Linked DNA regions of Drosophila melanogaster. The protein of the gene in region 4 purifies or fractionates together with the protein of the main gene of each other region. This does not show direct contact. Each region holds a gene or a part of one and is shown on either strand. Other genes may lie near its edges.

Region 1 (4,969 bases), on a different chromosome or scaffold from region 4:
TTTTTTCCGACCATAAAAAGTATATTAATTCTTGATCAGGATCAATAGCCGAGTCGATCTGGCCTGGTCCGTCTGTCTGTCCGTCTGTGTGAACGTCGAGATCTCTGGTACTATAAGGTTGAGATTAAGCATACAGATTCTTAAGACATAGAGGCAGCGCAAGTTTGTTGACCCATATTTTGAAAAATGTTTTGATATGTTTTTATAATTTTATTAGACTTGTAAATTTCTATCGATTTGCCAAAAAAATTTGCCACGCCCACTCTAACGCCCTAAAACCGCCCAAAACTGCCACGCCCACACTATTGCAAAATGTTTACATTTTTTTCATAATTTTATAAGTCTTGTAATATTCTATCGGTTAGCCAAACAATTTTTTTCACGTCCACTCTAACGACCTTAAGCTTCCAAACCGGTCACGCCCACACTTTTAAGCCATTTTTAATTTGTTTTTCATTTTATTCCCCATCTATCGATATCCCAGAAAAATTATGAAATTTCGCGTTCGCATTCGCACTAGCTGAGTAACGGGTATCTGATAGTCGTGCAACTCGACTTAAGCATTCTCTCTTGTTTTACATTTCAGTTTTTGGCCACAAGCCGCCCGTATGCATGACCCACGCTTTCAAAATTTTTTATTATATATTTCTTTTTTTTATTTTTTTCCCAACTTCAATCGATATGGAAGAAATTTCTCGTTTGCTCTTTCACTAGCTGAGTAACGGGTATCTGATATTTGGGTATCTTAACTTCGCTTGTTTTTTAGTGAAAGCCATTTTTTTCAAATGGTTTGTACACCTTTATGAGAATGTTATTGCTTTTATTGTATCTCGTAAACTAAATATATGGTAGAAATGGTCTTGATCTTTTAAACACAAGTCATAGGGTTTTCCGTTTGGAATCCACAAGAGTATATGTCGTAAAAGTCCTTGTTCTGTTTAAGGCCCAGATAGAAGACATGCTCGGCCAGATCCTTCCCAAACTCACAGAAGTTCTGAGCGTAAAGAGTAAAAAATATACGCTTGTTGTCAAGATGGTACTTTTGAAGGACGCCATTTTCCTGATCGTATATCCCACTGTTCTGTGGAGGCGAGTTGATCCAGGCGCTGTAGTCTATCCAGGCCGCTCGGAAGCTCTTTAAGTAGATCACAGCCAGCATTCTGGCCTCATCCAGAACATTAACGAACTGCGGCAGCCTTAAACACTCCACATCTTCGCGAAACCGCGTGAAATCACGCTGACGCTCCAGACTATTAAAAAGCATCATGTACAAATGGACCGTAAACGTGGAGTAGAAGTAGGACATGGGCTTGTTGCGGCTCTGAAAGAGGTACATGCTCCAATCCAGCATGGTGCGCTGAACCCCCAATTCGTATGTTGAATTCAGTTTTCTGTGCTGCTCCAGATTGCGAACGTTGTGTTCGTAGCTCTCCCGGTAGATCCGCAGGTCCTTGTACTCCCGGCTCAGGTCTCTAGCATGGAAGTAGACTCGCGGCGTTTTAAATTTCTGCTTATACGTGGCCAGCTTGCTGAGAATGGGATTCGACTCTCTGTCCTTCTGAAACCTGACGACGAAGCGGTCCAAAATGCCCAGAAAGTCATCCAGCTCGTGGGATTCTCCATTGAGCATGTTTTTTGTAACTATATACCCGAAAAGTGGCTTGAAATACTCATAGGTCTCACGATAGCAGTCTTCCAGCGCGTGGTGCACGTTGCAGGAGATGAAGAAGTCCAGCGTCTTCTGCTTAGCCTCGAATGGCTCTGGATCGTTCTGCAGCTCGGTCAGCAACTGCATAAGATCGCCCATTTGCGGCATGTGTCCTTGGATAGGGTATATGCATTAGGCACTCCCCCAACACAGGCTTTCCTCACTTACCCATGATCGAAAAGAGGGGTCGATTGCGGCTACAGACGTAGTCGAAATAGCTCTCGCAGGCATACTTTTCGGTGTTGATGGAGCCCTGTATACGAACCGACAATTTTTCAAGTTCCCTTATCCGCAGCTCCGACAGGTGCCGCACGTATCCCACTTGGCAATGCCCTGAACCAGTCAACATCAACAGAATAAGCGCTACGGATGCGCCGATTGCAAGACTTGAGGTTGTCATCGCAGAGCTCAAGTCACTGGCAACCCAGCTTTTGCGCCAGCCTATCGGACCCCTCAACGGATGTCGGATTTCGTTGCACAGTAGTTCGAGAGAGAGTCACTTTTCAAATACGTCTATCACTGGGCAACGAAACTATTTAACTTCAATTGAAATGTAAGCACAAAACTCCGTATCCCCTGGTATTAAATAACTAAAATAACTTATTGAATGTTTCAATTTTTAGTAAAAACTTTTTTATTACTTTTGACAATATTTAAAAAGATTTTCTGTCCAAGTGGACAATAATTAAATGATTGTGGGCTGACATTGACATAATTTATTTTTATCATAATGAACGTTTGAAAAGCATAGATAGTATTGAAAAATGCCCTATTAGTGCAACTCAGTATATGTTTTTATGGTGTGTTTTCAACATTTTCAACTTATGCTTCTTCAACGTGTTTAACCAAAAATTTATCCGGACTTTAGAAGAACGTTTTGTTGCAGACAGTTACAAACAGTTCTCCAAAATCACAATAATCAATCTTTACCGTTTTACCTTTTTTATTTTATCGCGCACATATAAACGGTCTAAAAACCAATTAAACGCTCACATTCCTATTTTATCATTTTTACTTGAAAATGCAAAAACACCCGAAAGTTCTCGGGTTGTTTGTTGTTTTTATATTGTTGAATTATTAGAACGGATTTATATATGATCTTATTACACTCGCACCACAGTGCATTGCTCAATTCGAGGTCTTATTTTAATTCAGTGAGTGAGTTCCTATGCTTAATTATATTTCCGAAGCGATAAGAATGTCAAGTCCTATCAGGAAAATTTCTCTCCCACTGTTTTTACGATCGCGCTATTCTGGAATATGGGCTTTGCATCGTTTCACAAGTATTACGAGTTATATCTGACTAAGCGTAGACAACAGTGTGCAGTTGCTTATGAAAGGAATGATTTAAATATACATATACATACATAATATACATATATTATATTATATTTGTTGGTTTATAAAAAAAAAGTATTTTTATTGATCAAAAACTTAAGCGAATGTCGGAGACAAATTCACGTCTTACACAATTGAAGTATGAATAAAATCTAAATCTAATTTGCAAAGCGAACGCTTAGCAAACCCTTGGCTGAGCTTATTTACTTCTTCATATTGAGCGTACATAGGCTCTCATTTATGTTTACGTTAATTAGGCGCTCTCTTGAGTGGATTGCGCATGGATATAGATCAGCCGAGTTTGAGCTACGTGGAAAGTTTTGACCCTTAAAGCTGTGTTAGCAGTTTTGACCCTCTGGTGGGAGTCGCGAATGCGGCTGCGGATGTTTATGTCTGTTGGATTGGGTGCCTTCTTGAGTGGATCACTCATGGGTACTGATCAGCCGAGAACTTGAGCTGCGTAAGCGGTTTTGACCCTTTGGTGGGAATAACTGATTCGGCAGCGGATGTTAATGTTTACATTAGGGTAGGCTGGATTTGTTATTGTCACCAGAATTTGGGTTCTTATTGGATACATGATTTTATGACTTATATCCTAAGGCATTCTATGATTTTGTGTATGGCTGTTCCTATGTGGTTATGTATGTGTGTGTGTAAGTATATGTGGTCTTATACTATGGCACATATGCTACTTCCCCATCCTTTAAATTTAGCCTGTCCTCAGGCGGATATTCTAGGATACAATACAGGATTAGTATCAAATACTGTATTTATATTTTCTGTTGTTGTGTTATTTTGTTGTTCTATTTGTTGTGGATTCTCTTTTTTATATTTAACAATTAGTTTTTTGGGAATGCCTTTATATTTATAAATAAAATATAGTATAAGTGTAAGTATTATAATAGCAAGTATAGTTAATGTAATAATTTGTAATGTGTTGTATGTATTAGTGTGTTCTTTAATTATTTCTTTAGCATTTAGATATGATAATGGTTCTAATTTTGTTACATTGTTATTGATATAGACCGTTTGTGTGTAGTCTAGTGTTGTGCTTGTAATTAATATGTTTTCTATTTGAACAGAACAATTAAAAGCTTTTATTATATTGTCTCCTTCTATTATAATTTCTCTATTAATTATACAGTTTTGATTTAATACAATTTTTGATAATTTCCAAGTTAAAATTATGTTTGGTTCTACATAAGTTATTCCAATATTGTTATGTGTTTTTGAATATCTGCATTCTGTTGGTATTTGATTTAATATTCCTGTAATACATTTGTTTATTATTGGTTTTCTTGAGTTTTGTTTGTAAACTTGATTATCTTGAATATAATATTTATCATTTACATTTTCTATAAGTATATTATTATCTTTGTCTGGATATGGTACGATGTTAAAAAGTGCAGTTTTTATAATGTCTCTAGGAATATGGGAAATAATAAGTATTTCATTTGCATCTGATTTTAACCACGTAGAAGTTTTTATATTTAGCAATTTTTCGGAATTTACATGTGATAATGGATCATGTCTTAATAATTTGGGATTAAAAATACCAAGTCTTGTTAATTGCATACCAAGTTCTATATCTTCAATGTATTCGGTAAACTGTTGTAAGTTAAATACTAAAAGTTCTAGTCTTCTGTCACCTTCACTTATTGCGCTTAAATGGTTGATTACTTCAATGCCTCTATTGACTACTTCTATAACTTCATTCAATTCATTAATTTGAATACTATGTTGAGAAAGATCGTATATTTTTTGTTCTAATTCTTCTTTGTCATTTTGATCTAAAGTGCCAAAAAGGTATTTATATGCGGTACCTATAATATTAATTAAACCACGTTTATTGCGTTTTATTATTCTTATTCCATTCATTTCTCTGTCTAATTTTTCAGTTAAATATTGGATTTGGGCTATAGT
Region 2 (7,946 bases), on a different chromosome or scaffold from region 4:
TTAATATGCAACGCAGTCTAGCCGCAAAATTTTAATCCTTTTAAGTGAGGCCGCCAGACATCGGGCAAATCGTTTAATCTTTTTATTGAATAGCCCTTGGAGTTTTGGGCAATCGAAGGAAAGAGTTTCACATCTGTTTGGCGGACATAAATCTAATTTCGAATGTCCCGCCTGTGTGTGACTGACTGAGACATCCCAACTCCTCCTTTTGGCGAATGCAAATCGTCGTCGGCTTACTGTTGTCATAACAATTCCATTAACGAGGACTGTCTGTCTGATTTGGCATATTTATGAGCTTAGGAAATTGAATTGAATTATTCAGAGCGACAAAAAGGAGGCCTCTAATACATGATGGTATCATTTGCTGAAAATGAATTCTATTGGCGGGGATTTCCTTCTTTCTTGACTCGCAAAATGATTGTTAAATGTATTCTATACCAGATCGATCCAATCGGCCAAATAATGAAAACATTTTGGCATTTGGCATTTGGCAAATGCCCCAAAACCGCACGAATGCAATGTGTCTGGTCTGGTCTGGTCTGGTCGGCGCCCCACGCACCATCGAGCATAATAAATCCGATTCGAATCTGATCTATCCCAACATCAGGGGTTGACATTTAAATTAACACCCATGTGGTATGGCTGCATGGGGGTTGGAATCAGGACCTGTGCGACAGGACTTGGCTCAGTCCTTTCGCTTAGCTGCTGGCAGTTGGTTGGATTCAAAGGCTCTTGCTTTGGTTTTGACATTTAGTTTTATTTTTCGCTGTAAATTTTCATCGGTACAAATGAAAATGGAAACTTGAGTATAACTAACATACTATTCAATTTCGTTTAAATTACATAATATTAAACTAGATGCTTGCCATTAGATTTATCTGCTTTAGTTCCCTCTTTGTTTGCTGCTTTAGTTTCAGTTGTAGTTGATTTGTTTCCCTCAATTGTCTAGTTGGTGTTTTCCATTTTTACACAAATCAAAAGGAGGATCATCACTCCAACTAAACACTATAAAGCGGTGCCATCGCGGCTGGCTCTGTGTAAGGGTGCTATATATGTATAGGAGATATGGGGACGACAGAGGGTCGAACACGACAGAAATGCAACGATAATACGGCAAAAGTACGTACAGAGTTGACTAAACCGAAACGAGTGTGTGTGTGGTGTGTGTGTGTAGTTTGTGGGAGATGTCGGCTGCCTTGGCGAACAAACATTTTGGTTGTTGCTGCTTCGCAACCGCTGGCTTTTGGAATTGGATTAAGTTTTTTTTTTTCTTTAGAGTTGCAGTGTTTGTTTTCGGATTCGGCATGTGGGGATGCCCGCTTACTCCTTGCGCGCTTGACGCTTGCGTGTTTTTGTGTTAGATTCCTAAAGAGAATAACGTTGAGATTAGTTCTGGTGGTGGACACAAGCAAGCTTATTTTTGAACGCACCTCAGTCTGTGCGGGCTCTCGGCTCTCCGCCGCCTTGGACTCCTCTTCGTTATCATCTAAATCAGACTTTTGGTTCTTCTTGGGACTAGCGGACAGCGGTGTGCTCTCCTTGCTGGTATCGCCAGCGGCCCTTTCGTCGCTCTCCTCCTCGGCCTCGGGCTCATCGTCGGGCTGAGGATCGTCGGACTTCTTGGCCTCGGCAGCAGCCTTTTTGGCAGCCGAGTCCTAATAGCAAAAGTGGGATTAGTAAATTCCTTATGAAGATCTCAAGTGAAAGCTCGAGCATCATTACCTGACTCTTAGCGGTACCAAATCTACAGTAGATGGTGAGGGCAACCAGCGCCACAATGGCCACCAAGCCAATGCCCCAGATCGAGGGATTGGCCTTGGCTAGCTCGACTACCTTATTCACGAATGAGTCCTATTAATGAGAAAGCCAAAGAATAGCAGTAGCAATTACAGGTGCACGGTGCAGGGCAAATATGAGAGGTGTTCATGTGGTTGTACTGTAGGCACTTCTAATTAAAATTTGAAAGCGTAAGACAAGACCGGAGCCAACCTCTTTGGCGCGTCGGTAGAGATAGAAGACATAACAACTGGCCGGAATGAGCAGGTACACGAAGTACAGGGCCCACCAGCCGGGCTTGTAGTTCATGCGGCGCATTAGGCGGTGCCAGAAGGTTTTCTTCGAATTGGATAGAGAAGTCTCTCGATTACGAATCCCTGTGTTTATTTGTGAAGGGAAAACGGAAGAGGTTAGGGGTTTTAAACTTACCGATTCACGATCGATGTAGCGACGCTTGATGTCGAAGCTGTTGGCGGCAAAGTCACGGGCCACCTCCACGTCGTCCGTGATGATTAGGTTGTCGAAGAGAATATCGCTGGACATGGACCACAGTTCCAGACCCACAGCGCTCTAAATAGAGTTAGTTTGGCTATAGCAAAGTGGACAACGAAAGCCATGCAAATTGCACTTACGATGGGCGTCATTTGGAAGGGCTTCAGATCCTCAAAGAAGTCTGGATTGGGAATCTTCCTGGGTGCCCACTTGCCCTGGTAGTTGGGGTTCTCGATCATTGGTGCACGCCACTTGCCCTTGTAGTTGGGATTGGGGATGAGCGGAGCCTTCCACTTGCCACAGCCGGGAGCCTTCTCGCACACTGGATTGTCCACCAATGGAGCCTCCCACTCGCCATCGATTTCGGCATCCCAATCCTCGGGTTTGGTGGCAGTTGGATCGAAAATCATGTCGGGCTCATCTTCGAGCCAGCCATTGGGCATGACGGCATCGGTATCGGGCAACTGGGGTGGAGCATCCTCATCCCAATCCTCGGGCTTGTGGGCAGTGGGATCTGGGATCTTCTCTCGCTCATCCCACGATTCGGGCTTGTGGTCATTGGGGTCGTCGATCTCTGCCGGCGGGTTGACTGGTGGCTTGAAATCGGTTAGCAGGGAACCCTCATTGATGATCTTGTGGTCAACGCGAATCTCAAAGCTGTTATCGGGACGGACCACCAGCTGGTAGAGATGGGGTAGCTTGTCCTTGAATGGCTCTTCCAAACGGTTCCTGAAAGCAAAGAACAAAAGAATATTATTCATCGATGGGATTATAAATATACGGTTTATCTGCCTCTTCAGAAATTCAGCTCATCAATGGGGGCAATAGTCCACCATCGGTGACGAAGAGCCAAACGGGTGATAAAGGTGAGCAAAGGTGATTTCGGAGATATTACACGTATGCGCAATGTCGAACACCAATTTTGTTTCTATACAACGCTCGGAAACTTTCAAGCAAGATGGTTAGAGTGGTGATTCTATTGATAGCGATAACGCTTGAACGAGCTGCTCATTTCCAATCTGCCAAAGAGTTGCGTTCATTTAATGGACTCACTTTGGCTTGTTGCAGTGCTTCTCGGTGATGGTGCCATTAATTGGATTGACGTGCCGGAATATGAAGTGCATTTTCACATCGTTGCCGCACTTGTCCGGTCCAAACATGATGGTATAGGGTGTCTTGTCATTGAACTACGAGTAAACAGATTCGGTTTCGGGGGTTGTTTACGATGTATGTTCTTTGGGGTTCAGGCGAGTGTGATCTATGAGGGCATTGGCCCCCGCACTTACCGCTTTTAGTTGCTCCGTGTCTTTTCCGGCGGACAAAAGCTTCAGATACGAGCCACCGCACTCCTGACCCTCCTAAAAACAAAAAAACAAAAACAAAAAAACGAGAATAAGCCGGGGGAGAACGAGAATTGGGTCAGTAAGCGGGTATTAATTGGATTTGCCCGGCGGCTGATGCAATCCCAGAGCGTTTCGCTAGGTGACGAACCTGCAACGTGACCTCGTACTGCACCACCAGCGGCTTGTCCGACTTGAACTCGAACGGTTTGCGGAGGGGGGCGGCTATGGCCGCGTGTTTGGCCTTCGACTTGAGCACCAGACCCAAGTCGTTAGCCCAAACGATGCGCTGCGGCGACTCCCAGTTCCAGATGCCGTCGTACTTGGAGATCTCCTCGGCGATGTCGTCCTTCTTGGCCTGCGACAGCACCCACCTCTTCCTGGACTCCTCCACGTCGTCGAAGTGATCCGCGAAGTGGAACTTCTTGGCATCGATAACCGGGCTCTCGTAGGCCAGCTTCTCATCGCCACCGATGACGGCGGGCTCCTCCTGCAAAGCATATGTGGAAACATTAGATAAGGTGCCATAAAATCCGAAGCACGCGGTTGTCAGTGGGGAAAGTGATAAAGAGAGGGAGAGAAAGATGGGTGGCCAGCATGGGTTTGAATTGGAGAGCGCTACACCTGGGCCCGCCAGACTAGTTATAGCTATATAATAACATGTTTTATGTTGCTCTTAGCTTGACCTCATCTGTAGCAGTAACTCCCCTAGAAACATAAATGACTGGCATAATTTCTAGAGAAACAAGCACGTTAAATAGAAGCTCTGCTCAATAAACCTCTGATGTAACCTGTGGAGCAACAGATTAGCGCATTCTTGGTGCTGCCATGGGGAGTTGCTATCTGCTTGACCTCGTCTGTTGGTAAACAGTTTTATTTTCCCTCGCATTCGGATTTGTTGCTGGAAAAGTGAGACACACTCGCATGCTAATTGTGGGTCATAAAGCGAAGAAGCCGGCCGCACCAACACCCCCCTCCCCCACAACCACCTTCCCCTACCCTCACAGCAATAGCGTTTCGCCTTTTCTTCTAGTAGCTTCCACTGACGTGTACTTTTTTCTCTCGTTTTTTTTATCTTACGAACCGCATCGTCGGACCAACTACTCACCTGCACATCCTCCACATAACCATCCTCGAAGTCGTCCGACTCCGTGTCCAAATCGGCGGCATTGGCCGCACTCAGCAGCAGCAAACTGCTGGCGAAGAGCAACGCCAGCGTTGCGGCCCGGTTTCCTCCCATTTTCCACGCCATTTTCACCCACTTTTCGCTCGCTCGCTGGCTGCCTGGCTGGGATTTAGTATCCGCGGAAAACCAGGTGGTGGACTCACTTGTGCGCGCTGTGCTTTTCAACAGTTTTCCCCCACTGCGGTCTGTTGCGGAATAACAAGAATCGAGATCTGGCACGACGAACTATTTGTAATTAAATTAATGTAAATTATACATTTTCTCTGCTGCGCTGCCTACTGTGTTCTGTGCTTCCTCTTCGCCTGCTTTGGTATGCCGCCGCAAAGGACAACTGGTCACACTGTCGCGTTGCGTTGTACCCTACCGTAGGGTATATATAGTTTTTAAGATACTTACTCAAGCTAGAATCTTTAATAATTGCACGTTCTTAGGAAGAGCACACTTTCAGCGGGACCAGAATATAATTGATTTGATGATTATGTTTGTGCTAAATAAAAGTAAGGAATATGTCAGATTTATTAATTTTATATACTTATTTGCTATTTAATAAATTAAGAATACTTTTGTTACCTTAAAACCACCCTCATGACCTCCCTAACCTGGTTTTGACCTAGAAAGTCTTAGTTTTAAAATTCATTAGAATAATCAAATAAATAATAATTACTATGTTATATCAACTATTATAATTCTCCCTATCATTTTTAGGATTAAAAATCTGTTAGTCTTAAGTAACCAAGACACATTGTAAAATAAAATAATTTAAGCAGATCAAATTAAGTTGCCGCATGGGTAACAGTGCGTTGATCAAATAATAAAAACATCATCGTAATCGTTACCTTAAGCATATCGATATGCCTCACTCCAATCGTCGTTACAGGGTTTGGAACTCCGATAAGTTTGTAGTACAGACTTACCCCCAGACGCTAATTGAATGTTGCATACTTTTCACTGCTAATCATAATTAATACATGATCATAATACAGAATGAAATATATAAACAAATACAATGTTATAAATAAAGAATAAATGGTTACAAGGGGAAAGAAAGCTGCATGTTTTCATTTGAGACATATAAATTCGCATAAACCACCATAAAATAATCGTTTTTCAGCCATAACTTGAGAAATATTGTCCGAAATATGGATTGTCATACCTTGTTGGACTCGTAATCGAACTCCCCTTCCAACCAAAATCAAATTTTGGAAAAAAAATTTTGAGCCAAATTTTGCAAAAAATGATGATGGTACCCCTTACAAAAAATTCAAAAATGGCCAAAATATGGATTTTGGAAAAACGGTCAAAAAGTTATATGCCCTGTTAGTTTAGGTCAAAAGATGTACAAAAAAGTTAGTTTCGTAGATTTCTGACTATTTTGAGCCAAGTAGTGACGAAAAACGTCTAAGAAAATACGTAATTTCCATATTGACAGTTTTGCCTTAATAAATTTGCACGGAAATTCGCAAACCAGTTAAAGCCTATTTTTGTTAATTATGTATGCTAATTTTTAAATTAATTTCAATCGGAATTAGGATTATCTAGGACTCGTAGCAGGCACCACTCTAGTATTTTGTTATTTTCCCTCGCCGACCATATTGAAATTAATATTTGTGCGATGTGCGATTTCCACTGAAATATTGGCATACATTTATTTTCCACTGGACATATCTGAATCAAACACTCCGTGGCATGAAAGTAGTCTTGCATGTTGCAATTATTTTAAAAGCCCGGCGGCTCAATTAATGCCCCACAACGGGAATGGCTAAGCCCCCCAATAAACTTGATGGCTGGCGGCAAAAGTTTCCCTTTGCCACGCGTGGCTCTAAAAAATAAAGTGGCATGCATTTGAGCATAAAATTATAATAAAAATTCCTAACTTATTGGCAGGATTTGTGTGGGTGGGGTCCATTCGTTGCCACGCCTTCTTTGTGCTGAGAAAATAGGTGTATAAATTTAAGAAAATAACAATAAAATTATTACAAATTAGAAGCATTGAAGGAAACGCACATTTTCCACACAAATGAACAGGTACATATATAATATTCAAGATTAACAGATTTTTCCCAGTGCACATCCTTTAACTGTGGCAACTTATCTGCGGCACGCGCAATTCTGCTGCTGCTTCTATTGCTGCCACTGACAGTTTTTCTTTCTTTTTTTTTGTTTGCAACTGCATACAAAAAGCTTTCTGTTTAATGGAATATTTAACACAATTTAAAAAGTTTTTTTCTAAAGACAAACAAAGACTCGGAAGCACACATGTGGGTGGGTGGTGCATATACATAATAGTGGGGGGCGGGGGGTAGGTGTGTTCGGAAGAAGAGGCAACTTTTGTTGGAGCCTCCGGACTGCAGAAAACTAAACACGTGCGCACAGACGTTTCTTTTTTTTTTATGGAAATTGTGTAATGACAGTTAATGAGGGTACTACATAAACAGACACAAGCACACCTCCAACACTCACACATGCAGCTTTTTAAAACGCCCCACCTGAGCATAAACAGCCAGTGTTGTCAAGTGTTCTATTAACAACGAGGCCAGCTTACCAACACTTCAGCCGGATTCCTGCACACGACGGCGATGTTCCACTGTACAGTAAATGTGGGAAAATACTTAACATTTAAACTAAAGTCCAGAGATACAAACTCAACATTATTAGATTGCACCCTTCTTTATTTTCAATGTTTTTTGCCCCAAGTAGAATTCCAAAAACATATATTAAACGCTTATGATAATGATAAGACTAAGCAAAAGTGTTGGAACTAGTTTGGAGAACGAGCTTTCAGATAAATCTCAGCTAATTACGAGTATATAAAGCGCCTTTCAGGAAGCCGAGCGCTTTGCAGTACGAGTTTCAAACTTCTGGGTAATTTATAATAACATTTACCTAGCACATAAATATCCCTGGGTGGCAAGAAACTGGGGGCCCAATGTGCTTCGCTTTTAAAACAGCAGCTCTTGTCTACACGAATTACTCAAAAAACATACTTAACACACTCACCCTCTCAAAGGAATTAATGGAGGGGGGCGGGGGAAAAGTAGTAGGGGGGGGTTCTTGGAAAAGGGGGCGGGGGAAAATGGGGAGCTGCGAGTACGGGACATCAATGTTGATAGCATACCAGAAAAGTTTTGTTCTAAGCTTTTGGACAGCACCGG
Region 3 (4,224 bases), 8.1 Mb from region 4:
TAACCCATTTCCATCCCCCTCAAATTACCTGATAAAGTTTTCATGGAACTAGAAAACTTTGCCTGCCACTGCTGTTGACAGGATAACCTGACAAACTACCGCAGAGTCGTGATAGGAATGAGTCTCGCTCTCGTCAGGGTCTGTCACCAAATTTGCAGTAACTATGATCTTACCAAATTTACCCATCTGACTAGAAAGTCAGCTTACACCTTACCGCTTACTCAGCAAATACAAAGACTCTATCATAAATCATAAATCGCCAGCTGATCGGCAATTATAAATAGTAGTTCGATTTCAGGCAATCAGCCGTCCACTTATCGAGCAATAAAACAAGGTTTTCTATTCACGTTAACGAGCTCTGTGATAAGATACGAAAACGCGCGGTGTTTACTTTAATGTACTGCTAGAGTATTACGCAAAGATCTCCCCTTCGACACCACGACTCTCAGTTAAGCTGGTAGTAGGCGCCGATCGTTTGGTGGATCCATCCAATGTAAGGGGGTACAGAGGTGTACACCGTTGGCCGATTGGCATATCCGCACGGCATATAGCTCCAGGATCCGAGGCCCACCAACTCCGCCGGTCCAGTGATGGGCCAGTAGATCAGGGGAGTGCCTCCGTCTCCGTAGCAGGTCTTTACCTGAGAGCACACCTGCTGCGCCGTCAGAGGAGCGTCTGCGGGCAGCAACTCCTTGCAACCCGTGCTATTGAGTAGGGGAGCGAAGGCATACTGCAACTCTTTGGAGTACTCGTCGCCATCGGGGTCGGTGAGTCCCCAGCCATAAGCAGCAGCTGTCTTATTGCTGTAATCATCATTGATGTCGGGCAGGGCGATCTGCTGAACTCGAGCGTTGTACTCGAAGCTCTCAGAGACGTGGAGCAAGGCTATATTGTCACTTCCGGCGTTTCCATTGAAAGACCGATGCGTTGAGGCGAAGTCGACGTAGCGCACTTGGGCGGCCGTCACGTTCGACCGGTTGATGATTCCAGCGTAAACGGGTGTTCCTACGGCATCTCCGTTGAAGGTGCGCAGTTCATCGACACAATGAGCAGCCGTCAGGAGCCATCGTTTGCCAATGATGGATGCCCCGCACAAGTGGGTATAGGTGGCCCTTGTCAAGGACAGGGACACCAGGTAGGGCACATTGTCCACCCCCTGCACATCGTAGCCATCTATAATCAGGGGCTGGATCTCTGCGTGAACTTGTTCTGTATCCCTCAATGTCAGGTGTTGAATGTGCGGAAGTTTAGCCGCTCCGGCCAAAGCCAAGAGGGGCAGCAGGAAAAGCGGCGATAACATCACTGATACGGTTGAGAATTTGAATCGTCTAAACCGGACGCCGAAAAGCAACTGGCCTTTTATAGTACAAGACCAAAAAGCTTTGCCATGCAGAGGAAAGAGAGAAAACCCCTGGAGTGCAGCAGTAACTCAAAGAACTAGTTCGATTATAGAAATATTGGACTAACCTCTGATACCGGGAATTAAGAGATTACGTTTTTAATGTGGCTTTAAAAAATTACATGGAGTGGGACATTCAACTTCTCCACATTACCTAACATATATGCATATATTGTATGTATGTATGTAGCATGTAAAATATAATTTAAGTTTAAGCTCCGTCTTAGGCTACATGTACTATTTTAACCTCCTGGTGCTGTGGCATTTAAATTTTGCAATTAACCTTTGAAGCGCGTAAGAGGACACAATGAAGATCGCGGAGTGCATCCTTGCATGCACTAATTGCCGACTGTCCGGAACAAGCTGCAACCATGTGTCATTAGGGCCACATGTCCCATGGTGTGGATGTTGTCCTGAAAATGTTTACGCAAACACGCGGTCACTTCAGGGGTATGAAATCTCTTCCTCCTCTCTTAATTGGCTTTGAACGCCAGCTGGGAGAACCCCATCGAGAGGGGTCAGTATTTATAGCATCCTTTGAGACTGGGCCGTGGTCGACCTTGCCGTGTCAACACCTCGGTTAGCACATTACGCACACCCACGTGGGCGCAGATTTCCAGGGCTTTTCCCATTCAAGAACAAGTTACTATTAAATACGCGTACTCATATCGGACAATCGTAATCAATTCAGACGAAATTAACTAATCGTCAAATACTATTCATAAATCTATCTGCTTATCTCTAGTGGTGGGCAAGTATAAAAGGTGCCATTAGTTGGTAGTCAGTATACATTCTCCGTAAATCTGCAGAATGAAACTGATCACTGTGACTTTGGTTATTGCCCTTGTGGCCGCCGCCCAGGGAGCCAAGCTCTCCGACAAGCTGGCCAAACTCGTGCCTAGCTTTGCGACCGGCTTCGTGATCAACGGCACGGAGGCAGAACCCCACTCCGCCCCGTACATTGTTTCCCTGGCGACCAACTACTTGAAGCACTCGCACATCTGCGGAGGCACCTTGATTAACAAGGACTGGATTGTGACTGCTGCTCATTGCATTTCCGAGCCAGTAGGCATGAGCATCATTGCCGGACTCCACACCCGTGCCGAGGTGGATGAGCTGACCCAGCAGCGCCAAGTTGACTTTGGCCGCGTCCACGAGAAGTACACCGGTGGCGTTGGGCCCTACGACATTGCCCTGCTGCACGTGAACGAGTCTTTCATCTTCAACGAGTGGGTGCAGCCCGCCACCTTGCCCAGCCGTGAACAAGTCCATGAGGGAGAGACCCACCTGTACGGTTGGGGACAGCCAAAGTCCTACATCTTCTCGGGCGCCAAGACCCTGCAGACTGTGACCACCCAAATTTTGAACTACGAGGAGTGCAAGGAGGAGCTGCCGGAAAGCGCTCCTATCGCTGAGTCCAACATCTGCTCCTCTTCCCTGCAACAGAGCAAGTCTGCATGCAACGGTGACTCCGGCGGCCCCCTGGTTGTTGAGTTCACAAACGCCCCCTCCGAGCTGATTGGCATCGTATCCTGGGGCTACATCCCCTGCGGACTGGCCAACATGCCTTCCATTTACACCAAGGTGTCGGCCTACATTGATTGGATAACCAATATTCAGAGTGCCTACTACAAGCTCTTCTAAACAAAAGGAAGAAACTATTAGTCAGATCTATTAGCCAGGATCGAAATCGCTATTGATCAGAGTCATGATCGATTGTTGAATAAAAGCATCCAACTAAAACTTGTCTTGTAACTTTTTTGCGTTTATTCTTTCTAAAATACCATCCTCTTCAACGCAAAGCAAAAACGTTCAAAAAGAAACTAGTTTTGTACACCCCTCCGATTGATCGATTGTGAAATAATTATAGGCAATGAAAGTCCAGTCTCTGTTTGCTTTTCTACAATTTATTGTGTCTGATTACCCTTGAATCGAACTGTAATCGGAACTGGATTAAAGACGGTCCCGAACACACCATTTGTCTCTTGATTTATGGTTTCTAATATAAGCTCTGGAAAAGCCCAGACTTTTGGAGGCGTGTGCCATTGATAGACGATCCAGTATCGAAAGTCATGCACTCGACCAATCAAATCTAACCGGACTGAAAGCTCCTTATCATTGCTATTAAAAAAGTGCTAAATAATATTGAACAAAGAGATTGGAAAAGCTTTACAAAGTTCGAATTCTAAGAATCAACATGTTGCTAAAACAACGTTTAATACAACAAAGAATACAAGGATGACGCATGAAAATTTACAACTTTAAAAGTTAAATTTTTCTAGATGCTTTTTGGCGCTACTAAAAATAATTCCCAAATACATTTAAGGTTGTTTTTAGAAGACTCAATAATATTTACACTTATGTTTTCATATTTCATCATTTATTATCAGGGCATGCTAGCTTCTAATCATTGTTTGCCAAATACACAAAGTCTCTACTATTGTTTTAAGACAAATACAATTAACACACTCAGACAAAGTAACCTGTATGTGAACAAATAGAAACTTGCCATCCAGATCGGGGCCAAAAGCCAGACATGTTGGCTGCAAGGAAGCTTCTTCTGTGCCTTAAGTGCATGCATGTGTTGAGATATTAGAACTCGTATCAGTCAAAGGCGCAAGAGCAGGACAAAGCGAAATCATATCGGGGCCAAGAATATGCCGGTGATGATCGTAAATCTCTTCGGTGATAACGATAACTGGTGCTTGGAGTGCTTACAGTTCAAATTGGAGATTGAAGAGACCTATATAAGGCGCTAGGCTATTTGGCAGTGGAACAAACTCGACAGAGAACTCAAAATGAAACAATTCGCGGTTATATTCGCA
Region 4 (6,242 bases):
ATATAAATACATCCACACAAGACCCACAACACTTGCATACACACACATACACATACACCTATACAGATATAGCTGCGTTAAAAGGTGAATGAGTAAATGGTTATTCGTGCGCAATTACATACATTAATATGATTAACATATTTTTGCGCATTGTCCTCGACATACCAGCATAAATAAGATGCCCAGCCAGTTCCCAACTCCCGCTCCCCTATCCACATTATATAGTTGTAAAACGTCATAATAATACTACACGCAACCGATACGAAAGATGCAAACTTTATTGTACTAATATAAAATAATGTTTGTTTGGAATTTTTTAAATGAGTAATTGTAGAAAGATCCGAGTATGAATGAATATTTGAACAAACACAAACACACCTCTCAGAGAAACCCACACAAAAATGAGCAAAGGAAACAAGAATATTAAGATGAAGAAAACCTTAAAGTAAAAATTTAATTGTAGTGACTTAAACAGATCAGATGCTGGCAGGAGTAAACAAAATTGTATGCAATCTTTTTGCATAAATCTAGCATTAACCCGACGTTGAAGACGATGGACGCCGCAATAAGGAGACGATCAAGAAAGCACGGCATCATAACCAGAATAGAGTTCATGCAATGTGTGAAAAAAAAAGAAAACTAAAACGCAAATACCCAAAACACAAATACATCAAGAAAAACAAAAGTAACCATAGAAATGCGTATTAAATCGTTTAAATTTTTACATAATTAGTTTGTACATTAATTTAAATAAAAATCAATTAAAACTACATTGATGTATGATGCAAAGCCACATTTAAGTTTCAATTGTAACGATTTTGATAGTAATATAGTGTACGTATCTAATCTCGTGGAATTTCGCAATTGATTGAAACATTATTGGATTGATGCCAATCAATTTTGAAAGTTTGGTGGGATATCTGTATATCTGAAATGTTTTCGTTTAATCCTTGAGCAACTAGTGTCAAAAGATTTTTATTTCGAATATTTAAAGTCAATTTTAGAGAAAAGTTTATTAAACGTTTGTTGTGGCAGTTGTATTGAACTATAGGTAGATACAATTATTTAGGTCCCGCTTTTTGAGGCACTGATAATCTGTTGTTATGTAGAAAGAGCGTGTCCTTAGAGTAGCCCTTCCAGGTTTCGAAAATGTCCTGGGAAATAAGCCAGGTGTTGCCAACTGGCGTCACGGGATAAACGTCGTCTTTGTTGCTAAAAGGCAGCTCGATTTCGTGCGAGACTTTCAGCTTGAAAGCGGTACCATTAAAGGGTCGTCCAGCATGGAGAGCCACTGTCACATCTTCCAGGAAGAGTCTCCACCGAGGCCTATAGTAGTCGCTCACCAAGCCGGACCACTGTTTGCACGCATAGTCCAGGATCTGACCATCAGGACCCCAGGCGGTAATTTGGTTTCTCGCATTGAATTCGAAGTTTCTTTGTTGCCCAGTGTTCGGTGCCGCTTGCTTGGCCTGCTGCAGCCAGTTGCCGAGCAGAAAATTCCTGCTGCTCGCCAGGATCAGCTCCATGTCATCGAACAGTTTCAACAGCTTGACGCTAAGGAATTCGAAACGCGAAACCTGTCGCTTTCTATAGGCCGACCTTAGATTGATATACAACTGATCTGCGCTGATCTGCAGGAATTGCCTGGTTATGTCCACCAAATCGTGTTCGTATATCTCGTATCTGTTATCCTCTAGCGGTATGATGGCTCTGAAGGTCAGCAACAAGTGCCAGGCATCCAGCACTGCACTTGCATTGTACCAAGTGAAGGGTTCTTGGTTGAAGGAAGGCCTGCGCGTCACTACATACTGTCCCCGCATTTTCTGCAGACCACGGAAGGAATAGACGCTATTCTTTAGGAGCAGCCACGCCTGCTCCAAACGCTCATCCTTAACGCCATACCGGCTGTGTGAGAAATTCGTAAACCAGCTATCCAGATCTAGGGATGTATTACTCCAGCCGCGCTCCAAGGTGAACGAATACATCACATAGTTCTGGCCAATGCCCTCGGGTGTGATTCCCGTGCCCACCAAACTGCTGTTGGGCAAGCGACGCGCCTCTTCTATTCCGGAATTTATCAGCTTCGCTGATCCAAACATTCCAAGTGTGCCGCCGAAATTGTGAAGCATGCACCATATAAAGGGCTGCCCAAAGTAGGAGCGCGTTAGCTCGTATTGCGGAAACTGTTCGCTCTGCAGATCGAGCACCAAAATGCGACCACGTGGTGCGGCCGTGAGGAAAGCTTCAGCCATGTCCGTGGTCCAAAAGGGATTCTTCACGAACATCCAGCCCTGAAGCAACCAAATGGCCTGAGGATCAATGCCGCGCATAGATTCATAAATCGCCGCCGCCGTTGAACGCATGTATTCCGGCTTGGCTACCGGTGGCTCCAGTTCGTTGAAGGGATCGCAGAAGAAGATGTGATTCGAACCATATTTCGTAATGATATTATGCAAAAAACGCGAGGCTATCTCCTTGAAAAGATTCTCCGTGGGTTCCACAAATAAACCGCAGCAGTATCGATCGGGGAACTGGTTCCATCGCTGCACTTCCATGAACGTCGATTCGGGATTCAGACGCTTCAGAGCACGTGGCACATGACCAGCAAAGGCGGGCAAGGCCACGCTCATGCCCAGATTGCGTTGGGCAGTGATAATCTCCTGCTGGAGGAGTAATTGATAGCGTCGCCATGCCGGTGTCAGTGGTCCCGCCCATCCCCGTATGTTGCCCATGCGCTGCCAGGCCTGAAAAGCTGGTCCAGCCAGATGCTCGTCGATTTCCTCCATCCTGAGGCCCATATCCGTGTACACCTTCACCCAAATGGCTTCCTGGACCGGCGCAATAGTCAGACTGATGCCCATCAGGGCCATCCAGTCCAGGTGACGGCGCCACTGCTCAATGCCCCACCATGCAAAGCTATAGCTCCAAGTGCACACGTTCTGGTGATAGATAATCGGGCTTGCTGACTTGGACTCGATGGTCACATTGGGCAGCTGCAAATTGGTGGGCAACTCAATGCGCATCTTGAACCAATCCACGTCCTTGTTTAAAACATATTTGAGGTAGTGATGGAGGGCCTTGCACACGGAAACACCATCCCATCCCATCAGCAGAATCCGGCCATCATCCAACATGCTAATCTGTAAGGTATTTAAAGATTGAAACATTTGTATTGTTTATTTACTTAAAAGTAAATACTTAATAAATAAATATTATTACCTGAAAGCTTCGTAAATCCATATTTTTATTGACTTGCACCTTAAACAATTGAGAAGATCGTTCGCCGATTACTCTACTGATTACCGCCATGGCTGCGGTTTCCTGGACATCTTTGGGTGTGCTGGGTGCCAAGTGGGCAGCCATTTGGAGTCCCATTTCAGGACCTGAAGCCGCATCCCAGTTAAGTTCTGATCCCTGCGCGAGTTGCAGGCAAAGCACCGCTAGCAAGGCCAAGGCCAGCTTCCAATTCAGCTGCATTTCTCCGTCCGTCTATTTACTGCCGTGTGTGTCAATGTCAACGGGGCCCAAGTGACTGACTGACTGACAGCTTCTCCTTCTCTCGCAATTGGGGCTCTCCCGAAGAATGCGGGAACGGAGGAAAGAGCGCTAAGTGAACCCGATGAGAACACAATGGAAGAGAAGAGCAGCTGGATTCCGATCACTTTCTTCTTATCGCCAGATTGAACAATGACGCAGTAGAGTTCTGAAATGCGAGGGATCATCGGATACACTCACTAAGAGTATATTACAACTTTGATAAGAAGTTTGTAGATCAATTTTTCCCTTATTGAGTTTTAAAAATAATATTAAGTTCTGATTTAAAATTAATTGGTAAGCAATGAAAAGGTAAAAAATATATTATCAACTAAAATAATTGTTTGATATTTATGCAACAAAAAACAAAGAACGTCAGATTTTGGAAACTATACAATTTAGAATGGTATTTAAATGTTGGTCTTCGTCGATATCCTTATATTGTAATCCGTGTTATAATGCATTTGTTAAGAAATTAACTGAAAATCGCAAGGCAAATCCATATATCTCGGAAAATATCAAAAAATATATAGTATATATACAGGGTCATTTGAGCTTTATTGCACGTATTTCGTCTTAGACACTAACAATAATTTAGTTTATGCCGCCGACTAAGCAGCGATTTTAAGTACATGTAAACGAAAGAACATTCATTTCTTCTCGTTCGTGTGAAACGATGAATGCTCAGTGTATATAACTCCTAACAAATTGAATAACAATTCAGCGATATATATATGTAAAAAATTATAAACTCACAGCGGACAATGCAACGCGATGCTTTCTACCATTGTTTTTTTTTTTTTTTTTTTGTTTGGCAACAGAATACAATTTCAAAGCCTTGGCCAACAACAAACGTACGTGTACGTCGATGATGTATCTTCTGGTGCTTATGAGCTACTCTTACCATATCTACCATGTACAATTTTAATGTTAAAAGCCTTTCGTGTTGCTCACTATTTTATATGCACAAAATCAAAAATGACTAGCTCTAAACAGCCGCTGGCAATTACACAAATCAACTAATCGCTAAGTAATGCTATTGTTAATATCCTTAAATACAAGTTATGTACGTATGCAATTCATGTCTATGTGTTTTGGTTTTTTGGCTGTGTGAGTTTACTGTACTGACTACAAAAAACAACCTGGTTATAATATTGTTAATCGTTTGCGTTTTAGCTTGGCGCAGTTGGAAGCAAACATATCTTTGGACAAATCACTCTTCAAATTTCACTTTACCACAATCTCGTGCAGTAAATTCGTTGTGCAACACGTTCTTTTCAACCTCCATAGCTTTTTACTCCCCAATCCGAGAGAGATCCATTTCAATTTTATCATATTCCCTTGAAAATCCATTGAAAATAGTAGGAAAGTTACTTAGCTCCTTCTTAAGTATGCTTTTCAAAATCAAAAGTAACAGCATCACGAAAATTTGTGGGCAAAAAAGTTAAAACGTCATTTGGAAACATTAAAATATTGTATGCTGTATCAATAAAATCCTGTTTGATCCCATGTGTGGTTAATTTTAGTAGTTAATCTCGATATTTTTTAACAAGCTATCCATTTGATCTGCTCAACTTTTAAGTTGCACAGCATGTGTTTTTATACGCTTTCATCTTCATAGTTGGTCAGTTGGTCACTTTAGTTGGTTTACTTTAAATCGAGCATTTAACAATTAGGACCTAACAAATCTTGTGGCCACTGTTCTTTTACTTTTGTACTCTTTCCGATCTGGCTGTTTTTCCTTTCTTCGTGATCTGTTGTCCTCTTTACTTCCCGGCATTATGATTTTTCTTTCAAAAGCTCCTTACATCTTTTTGGTACTCAGATTTGGCACAAATAAATGTGGGGTTAGATCCATTTCGCCAGCGATCTGGTGTCCATTATGCTTTCTGTAAATTCGTTGTGCACTCGCGGTCTCCTCCACCAATCCTATTCCTGCTGCCTCCAATTCACTCACTTATGGAGTAAGCCTTTCGTATGCACTTGCTGTGCCTGGTGATTCTCAGCTCCTCGGCATCGTGCGACGAATGCTGTCGATGCGTCACTGTTTCTGGCAGTTCAGTCGAAGACTTGTTCAACGCGTATGTGCGGATGAAGTCGATGGTTGAATAGCCTTGTGTCCCGGAGCATTCTGTTACCTTCTTCGCCTGCGTATCTCCCGTATCAGCAGAGATGCTATTCAGGCTTTGGGTCTGCATGGGCGGTGGGGGAACGTCCAACGTAGTACCTGCCTCTGGAGTTACTGGTGCGGTGACAGCTGCTGGGGTGGAGATCAGTGATAAGCCGCTGCCAAATCCATTGATCGCCTTTGATGAACCCGCCGGTCCCACGGGACTTCGCGGCTGATCAAGATCCAGCACTATATAGTTTACTCCGCAGCTGCCCGCTAAGCTGGTGGGCGTGGCCGGCTCTTGATTGGAAATTGGTTCCCTCGGCAGCAGAGGGAGCTCCAAGCGATTTACGTTCTCATAGCAGCGCTCATTGTTCAGATCAAAGATCAGAGCTTCCACATTGGCGTACATGTGCACAGCATCGTTGGGACTCAGAACTGGAGCTGGTGCTGGGGCCGATTCCAGAGGTGGCAAGTCCATCGTGCGCCTACGTGATGTCAACCTATTGCCGGAGGGCGGGGTGGAAAGCAAATCCGAGGCGGTGCCTTCCAGACAACAGTCCTGCAAAGCCCGCAATGGCTGATCCAAATAGGCACT

What was found.
Region 1: the proteins of Naglu (region 4) and CG1092 purify together in Drosophila melanogaster (affinity purification with mass spectrometry, with the first as the bait; one large-scale study listed by BioGRID). This does not show direct contact.
Region 2: the proteins of Naglu (region 4) and Cnx99A purify together in Drosophila melanogaster (affinity purification with mass spectrometry, with the first as the bait; one large-scale study listed by BioGRID). This does not show direct contact.
Region 3: the proteins of Naglu (region 4) and CG11911 purify together in Drosophila melanogaster (affinity purification with mass spectrometry, with the first as the bait; one large-scale study listed by BioGRID). This does not show direct contact.

What each region holds. Positions count from the first base shown.
Region 1 is NT_033777.3:4,264,113-4,269,081, reverse strand, and holds CG1092 (uncharacterized protein), read right to left. Parts: upstream 2,313-4,969; 5' UTR 2,109-2,312; coding exon 1,877-2,108; intron 1,822-1,876; coding exon 869-1,821; 3' UTR 766-868; downstream 1-765.
Region 2 is NT_033777.3:29,314,515-29,322,460, forward strand, and holds Cnx99A (calnexin 99A), read right to left. Parts: upstream 5,131-7,946; 5' UTR 5,074-5,130; exon of another isoform or gene 5,020-5,073; 5' UTR 4,861-5,019; coding exon 4,717-4,860; intron 4,099-4,716; coding exon 3,760-4,098; intron 3,627-3,759; coding exon 3,555-3,626; intron 3,456-3,554; coding exon 3,322-3,455; intron 2,998-3,321; coding exon 2,409-2,997; intron 2,347-2,408; coding exon 2,206-2,346; intron 2,116-2,205; coding exon of another isoform or gene 1,990-2,115; intron 1,852-1,989; coding exon 1,723-1,851; intron 1,656-1,722; coding exon 1,431-1,655; intron 1,366-1,430; coding exon 1,321-1,365; 3' UTR 740-1,320; downstream 1-739.
Region 3 is NT_033779.5:319,207-323,430, reverse strand, and holds CG11911 (uncharacterized protein), read left to right. Parts: upstream 1-2,182; 5' UTR 2,183-2,209; coding exon 2,210-3,043; 3' UTR 3,044-3,152; downstream 3,153-4,224. Other genes in the region: CG33127 (uncharacterized protein), read right to left, coding at 446-1,300; CG11912 (uncharacterized protein), read left to right, coding at 4,198-4,224.
Region 4 is NT_033779.5:8,408,068-8,414,309, forward strand, and holds Naglu (N-acetyl-alpha-glucosaminidase), read right to left. Parts: upstream 3,802-6,242; 5' UTR 3,478-3,801; coding exon 3,220-3,477; intron 3,141-3,219; coding exon 1,062-3,140; 3' UTR 982-1,061; downstream 1-981. Other genes in the region: CG13398 (uncharacterized protein), read right to left, coding at 5,484-6,242.